2 linked regions of the Tamandua tetradactyla genome follow. The main gene of each other region encodes a partner of the protein of the gene in region 2 in a complex. Links are inferred from orthologs where the notes say so. Each region holds a gene or a part of one and is shown on either strand. Other genes may lie near its edges.

What was found. Proteins that work in one complex are often made in the same cells at the same time.
Region 1: mitochondrial import inner membrane translocase subunit Tim23 (region 2) and TIMM17B share a complex: the UniProt entries of both Homo sapiens proteins name them as parts of the TIM23 complex. The link is inferred for Tamandua tetradactyla from reciprocal best matches to the Homo sapiens genes TIMM23 and TIMM17B.

What each region holds. Positions count from the first base shown.
Region 1 is NC_135353.1:121,257,770-121,261,517, reverse strand, and holds the start of TIMM17B (mitochondrial import inner membrane translocase subunit Tim17-B), read right to left. Parts: upstream 2,323-3,748; 5' UTR 2,214-2,322; coding exon 2,188-2,213; intron 2,083-2,187; exon of another isoform or gene 1,968-2,082; intron 1,293-1,967; coding exon 1,193-1,292; intron 1-1,192. Other genes in the region: PQBP1 (polyglutamine-binding protein 1), read left to right, coding at 2,700-2,803, 2,936-3,018. UniProt on the Homo sapiens protein: Essential component of the TIM23 complex, a complex that mediates the translocation of transit peptide-containing proteins across the mitochondrial inner membrane.
Region 2 is NC_135339.1:5,644,794-5,648,541, reverse strand, and holds the start of mitochondrial import inner membrane translocase subunit Tim23, read left to right. Parts: upstream 1-1,272; 5' UTR 1,273-1,414; coding exon 1,415-1,520; intron 1,521-1,611; exon of another isoform or gene 1,612-3,624; coding exon of another isoform or gene 3,625-3,747; intron 3,748-3,748. Other genes in the region: PARG (poly(ADP-ribose) glycohydrolase), read right to left, coding at 726-945. UniProt on the Homo sapiens protein: Essential component of the TIM23 complex, a complex that mediates the translocation of transit peptide-containing proteins across the mitochondrial inner membrane.

The sequences.
Region 1 (3,748 bases), on a different chromosome or scaffold from region 2:
TGGAGGAAAAATAAGGAGGCCAATAAGGGTGGGGCAGAGTGGGCAAGGAGAAGAGTGGTAGAAGATAGGAAGTAGGCAGTTAGACTGTGTAAGGCAGGGTAAGAAGTTTGGGTTTTATTTTAAGTGTAACAGAAAGCTATTGAATTATAAGGAGGAACAAGGATTGGATTTGCCTTTTTAAAGGCCCCCGTGGCTGATGTGTTGAGAAGAGTCTCCAAGGGGGTAGAGGAAGAAACAAGGAAATGAGTGAGGAGACTACAGCAATCAGGGGGACTCAGGCAAGGATAGTGGCAGTACAGGCAAGGATAGTGGCAGTACAAGTGGTGAGTTGTTGACTTGGGGATATATGTGCTTGGATGCTGAGTACACAGGTTTTGCTGATACATCAGATGCAAGATGGGGTGTGAAGGAAAAAGAAGAGCCAAGAATGGCTGAAGGTTATTGGACTAAAAGACTATAAGGAAGAGGGAATACTGAGATGAGGTAGACTGATGAGATTAGTTCTGGGAAAGAAGCAGGAGCTCTGATTTTGACCTCTTGAGTTTAGATGTAAAGTAGATATTTGGATATATGGATCTGGAGTTGACGGGAGAAACAAGGCTAGTTATAAAAATCACAGAGGGTGGGTGATGGTGGCACAGTGGCAGAGTTCTTGCCTGCCATTCCAGAGACCCAGGTTTGATTCCCGATGCCTGCCCATGCAAAAAGGAAAAAAGGAAAATCAGAGACCTGGGCAAACTGATGGCATTTAAAGTCATGACAATTGATGAGAGCTGCTTCTGAAAGGGCATGGGCAGAGAAAGAAAACAGGATTGTTATAAAAGGATTATTTTTTTACAACTTTAAAGCTGCCCTCTCTCTGACAAACTCCTATCACCTCCCTTTATGCAGATTTCAGACCTGAAATCTGCCTGTAGGAGATAAGATATGTCTGTCTGTGCAGGCACATTTAGGATTTGTTGATGACTGTTTTGACAGCATGGCATGTCCAGGAAGGAGTCCCAGTTGGAGAGGGGGCAGGGGCCATGTTTGCAATTCCCCCTAAGACCCCAGATCCGGGAGCAAGAATTGATGAGCACACAACAGAATGAATAAGTGCATGTGACTGGCAGCTCTAAGAGGTTTGCAGGATAGTATCACTTGTGAATAGGGCAGCCAACCCTCACACCACCCGGAGAAGGCCAGGACTCACCACGGGGGCATTGCGGAAGCCCTTGATGGCTTGGAAGACTCCGCCGCCTATGACACCCATGGTGAAGGCTCCGCCGCAATCATCCACAATCCGCCACGGGCTGCAAGCGGGAGGGGGGGGGAGGGGAAGGGATTAAGGTGAACCCTACACTGTGCGCTGTCACATGGACGAACTCTTTCCAAATCGGAGGAACCAAGGCACCCGGATGGGAACTTCATGAGCGGGAAGAAGTACTTCATATAATAGTGAGCTAGTTCTGTCACTTTTTCTCTCATTAAAGCGAGATATAAGGCAGAGGTGGGGGGGGGGTAGCAGTCTTTGCCCTGCTGACCCGTGCCCTTCGCAGCCAACTGGGGAATGGCTGTCAAAGATTAGATGAGCTGACACTAGCAAAGAGACAGCACTTTTACCTAACCACCACATAAGTTATTAAAGCAGAATGGGGTTGCAACCCCTTCTCCAACAATGGCTACAGCCAATCAAGTCCGGCCCTCCCTTTTAACCGAGCACCGGTGGGAAAAACCGAGAGCAGACGCTGGGGAGGATCCAGCATTCCCCTCTTTGCCCACAATATGATCACCCAGGCCCCACCCTCCATTAACAAAGCGACCTGGGAAAAACCACGCGTGGTAATCCTAGGGATCGCCGCTCAACATCGTAACCCCCCACCCCTTGCCGGAATGGATTCGACCAGCGTGTCTCTTTGTCGTTAACAAGGAAGGGCTGGGAGATACAAAGTCAGAGGTGAGGTGGAGTGGTTCGCCCAGTGCCGCACCTCCAGGAGCGCCGTTAGTGGGCCTCGTCTTAACCGAGCCTGGGTGGGAGGCACCCAGGTGGTGATGGTGGGTGGTGGGGCGAGCGAAAGGAAGTAAGTTTTGCAAGACGCTCCCGAATCTGGGACGCGGCGCCTTGCGGCTGGTGTCTTCCCCGCCCGCCCCCCACGGCCGGCCAGGGCGCCGCCACAACGATCCCGCGGCCTGTGCCCACCGCCGTACCAGGGCTCACGAGCGTACTCCTCCATGGCGCCGGCGTCCGGCCGGGCCACGCCCCCAGTGGCAACGCACACAGGAGTCCGAGCTCTTCACCTATTCTCGGACAAGGGTCGGGTCACTTCCCTCGACGTCAGGCCCAGGGAGCGCTCATTGGCTGCCAGGTTTGTGTCGTGGGTTCATCCCGCCTCCGAGCGTCGCCCAGTTACCTCGAGGTTCAGGGAGAAAGGCTTTCATTCTGTGCTTTGAGGGGAGAGCAGTGTGGTGTCGGTGATCCTGGCGACGAGGAGAGAGAGGCAGCCTGTCTGACAGCCTTCCACTAGCCCCGAGGCTGTATCGGCAACGCTGGGGTGGACGCATTCTTTTGGAGCCGGAGGAGGTGCTGCATTCTGCTCCCCCGTTCCAGCACTTTGGTTCCTCCCACCTGGCAAGCTTTGAGGGATATTGGGTGAGCCCATTTCTCCAGCGCGGGGAAACTGCGCCGGTTGCTTCGGTGGTGGGCAAAGCCTGCGAGAGGAATGCGGGGGTGGGGTGGAGGACCCGATGGCAATCCCGGCCACGAGAGGAGTGCTGGTGTCCGCTTGGCTGACCGTGGCCACCTATCTCCTCCATCTTTTGGCGCGTAGGTTCCGCCCGCCCAGTTTCTGGTGCCAGTCGGGAGGTAGGGATCAAGATGAGTCCATGCTGGAGGGAGGCGCTTGGTTACAGGATCCGGAATCATCGAGCTGGTTTTCAGTCTGTTGGTCGTCCCTAGGTCTGTGCTACTTGCCATGCCGCTACCCGTGGCGCTGCAGACCCGCCTGGCCAAGAGAGGCATTCTCAAACATCTGGAGCCGGGTAAGAGAGCTAAGCGCAAATGGGCTTTCTTTGTGCCGGGTTTGACAAGCACTTTGTTGTTGAGGCTTGACACTTAACACCAAGCTTGGGACTTCTGTGCGCTAAGCAGCTAGGAGCCAGGAGCTGGGGCATCTCATTAACATGGATTCCTGACATCCATTCCTATGTTTGCCGAGCACTGGGGCAGATAGATGTTGCAATCCTTAACAGTTCTGACAGCTGATAGCTCTCTAGTGCCTGCTATATGCCAGGTTCCATAGGGTGGTAAGTACTGTCTAATAACAAGGACGGCTGACATCTAGTGCAGGCTTCTGTATGCCAGGCACAGCAGGGCGTTGACCTTGATACTTTGTTGTTTACCAGACTGATAGATAGTATTTCAGGCCTGCTGTAGGGGAAGGCACTCTGCTGGTGATGTATATACTTTATTCACCTCATTGAGAACTGACATGTATTTTGGGCCTACTAAGTGCCTGCTGGCAAACACATTAGGGTTGAGAGTATAAAATAATGACAGTGAGGAGCTATTATTTAGGCCTTCTGTGCTGCTGCTAATATTTACACTTTATTGTTTATGCTAAAGGTTGGCATTTACTTTGGGCTACAGTATGTCAGGCACTGAAAAAATACATCTTATTGTTCACCTTTATTGATTTCAGCTGCCTGTTACAAGCTTGCAGCGTGCCAGGCAGACTTGATAGTTACTAATACAGATAATGGTCATGGATCT
Region 2 (3,748 bases):
TCTACACTTCTGGCACAGAGCCCCATATCCACATTTCCCATTCTTTTCTAAAACCATCCACTATTTGGATATCCAAGTCTAAGCACTATTATCTACTACCTAGACTAATTCTTAACTAATCTTGGGTCTCATCCACCTCTGCCTCCTTCCAATGTTTTACGTTTTCCACACACCAGCCACAGGGAGTTTTCACACACACACACACACACACACACACACACCTGATCAGTCACTCCCCTACCCACTAGAGGGTTCTCCTTACCCTTAGGAATAAAGTTCAAAAGCCTCAGCACAAATTGCATGACCAGTTATGACCTGACCCTTGCCTACCTCTCTGCAGTTATTAGTCTCTTCTATACACCAGCCGCACTCCTGGAATACTTCTCTATCTTCTCTTCACTCAGTCAACTCCTACTCATTCTTCAGGCCTCAAATAAGCATCCCATTTTGGGTCCCACAGTCTAAGCTAGGTGGTACTTCTGACTTCCACTGTTAAACTCTGTCCTTCACTTATGACAACATCCATTACCCCTTATTATATTGACTTTATAACTGTTTATGTTCCCTGATAGATTTTTGAAGGCAGAAGCCAGGAAGTTCAGCAAGAGAACCACAGAATGGTTCGCACAAGGCCAGAAAGGAATGATGGGGGTCCCCGGGTCCTAAGAGACCGGGAAGAGATTCGAGTCCGGGAGACAGACAAAGACTTTTATGCTCCCACGTACCAAGAGAGGTGGTGCTGCCTCTGTGCGGTCCCGCCCGCCCCGGGACGCAGCCTGGAGAGGACGGTGGGACCCTGAACTGCACGGGAGCGTCCTTGAGGTCGAGGACGCGCTTCTGCCTGCCGGGGAAGCCGCGGGTGTCCGAGGCGGCCGGCGGAGAAGTTGCAGCGGCGCCCCAACGGGGTCGCTTGGTGCACGGCTCACAGCCAGGGCCCGCATTCATGCTGGGACCCACGGCGCACAGTTCCCGGGCCGACCCCGGCGGAGAGTTTCATTCACTAACCCTGAGAGGGACGGACTGCGCCTCCTTATCGGCGCTTCCCCACAACATTCCCTCTCCGCCGCTGCCGGCTTCTGCAGTTGCTGCTCCGCGGGCCTCCCAAGCCGGCCCCTATCCAGGGGCCTGTCTTCCCTCTTCTACAGGGACCCCCACCTGCCTCAGGATGCGCCGCTTTGACTCTGGCTTCGTTCACTTTCCCACCACCGGAAGGTTGCCGTCAGGTACTTCCGGCTTCCGGGGCGTACGCTGTCGCAAAGCGGAAGTGTGGCGAGTTTAGCGAGCGCTGCCGTCCGGAAGGTCAGCGTGTGAAGGAGGCGGTGGCAACGCGGGTCTCCCCGCGGTTAGTGAGGTGCAACGGCCGAGCGGACGACCCCGGCTTGAGGCATCGGCTGGAAGCAGGCGCAGGCACACCATGGAGGGCGGCGGGGGAAGTGGAAACAAAACTACGGGGGGCTTGGCCGGCTTTTTCGGAGCCGGCGGAGCGGGTTACTCGCACGCGGATTTGGCCGGCGTTCCTTGTAAGTATCGGGCCTAGCCTGCGACTATTTCTGATTCTGATTCATTTTGCGACTACACGACCTTGTGGTATTCCTTATTCTTTTTATTATTTTTTTTGCGGGCATTCACAAGTTTCAGTTCCAGGAGGGGTTAGAGTGTCTTTTGAGGATTGAAAGGATTTGGGGGCCCGTGAATCCCGGAGAGGCTCTCTGAGGTTGACCTGAACTCTGATGCTGCTTGTATTCTCCATTTTGTATCCAAAGTGGTGCTTTTTCTTTCTTCGGATACGTTGCCTGTGTGTTTGGCCCTTATATTAAGAGGGAGCCCAGCTCTGTGAGTAAATATATTCCATATAGCGAGTCTTTAGATAGCTTATTAACAGCCACGTATTCGACATCAATATCCATTTCCCTACCTAGCCGTGAAGGCAAAACGTTGAATAATTGTGTCCATTTAAGAGGTAAACATATATGAGTTGAGCCAAGCCAGGAAACCATATGAAGGAACTGGGAAGTGAGCTGAACTTTAAAGGTGACTTACAGACATGAAGAGAGAAGCCAAGTGGGGATTCTAGGTGGAGAAATATGCAAGATGCAGAGTGCAGAGACGTGGAAACCCTATCCCTGCCCTGCCCTCAATCCTAGGAATATGCATTTCAGGTGTTTGAAACTTGTTAGTCGTAGATATTCAACTGTATAAATTAGAAGTTGGACATAAAAATAATAGAAAGTTGGTGGTGGATAAGCCCTTTGCCAAAGTATTTTCTCTTTGGAGAATCCCTGGACATGTTTCTGTAGGACTTTCACACTCAAGGACAAAAAGTGCCCTTTTATATACATAGTGTCACCAGTATCAGAACTGGGTCCAGAACACAAATTATACTATATGTAATGACTTAGGCACTCTGAATTTCAGAACACAAAGGGAACTTCCTTAATGTGATGAAATATTGTTAAATTGATTTGATTAGGTTAAAGATTTGAAGATTAAATTGAGGCACTGTAAGGTGAACAGTGTTAATTAAGTACCTCCTACAGTGTGCCAGCTGCTTTTCAGGGTGAGGGGCTACAGCAGTTTAAAAAAAAATTTCTCCATTTGTGGCTCCTGCATCCTCCTGAGGTGAGCCAGTTAACACATAAAAGCATTTTGGATAATGACAAGTGCTGTAAAGGAAATAAAACAGGATCATGAGATGGTCATGGGACAGGGGTAATTTGGAGCAGGTGGTCAAGGGAAGCCACTCAGTGGAGATGACATTTGAGCTGTGACCAGACAGAGAAGTTGGCTAGTATGCGTGCCATTAGACAAAACAGTCATGTTTGAGAAACAACTGACTGTTAAGCCAGTGTGTCTGCAGAGTTGCAAGGGGGTTGAAATGGTAGGAGTTAATAGGTCAGAGAGGCTGGGAATCACAGCTAAGGTAAGTTTTGTAAACCATCCTGAGGAATTTGGGATTTGATCAACTATAGAGAAAAACCATTAGAAAGCTTTAAGTAAGGGAGTGATGTGATTGAATTTCCTTTAAAAATCACTGATTGGTATATAGAAAGTAACCAAAGGGGCAGGAGGAAGCAAGAATTCCAGTTAGGTAGGAGTCTGTGGCTATAGTCAAGGTGAGACTTGATGTTGGACTAGGGTAGTAGCAATGGAGATAGTGATAAATAACAGTTTAAGATCTATATTGAAAATAGAACAGGACTTGGAATTGATTAAAAAGACAACAGTCATGGGTAATGTAGACATTTGTGAGCAATCACTTGAGATATGGAGGTAGTCAGAAGTTAAATTTTTAATGAAAGAAAGATGATTTTCCTAGATATAGTTTTCTCTCTTTAAAGTTAGTGAAATTCATTTCTGCATCTCTGAAGGTTTGTATTTTCTTTGGTCACTACCCATCCCCATGGTGATGACCAAAGAATTCTCTTCCCTGCCGTGGTAACTCAAGACAGCAACTGTCAGCTCTAAGATCTGAAGAAACTGCCTTAAACACACGTTTTTTTCCCCCATGAAATTTGTCTTCTCTTGGTCTTATTTTGCAATTTGTGTAGTTACCAAGCATTATTTCAGCAAAGTAGAAAGTAGTTAGTTCTATAATTGACATAGGCTGTGTTTCCTGTTAGTTTGATGATTAAACCTATATTATGGCCCATATTTTCTTGGTGTGAGAATCTGCACCACCAGTGCAAGACCAAGTTGGGGCTGAGAGCCCCAGGAGGAGACACGCCCCCAGCCTGCCAGATAGGAAGGG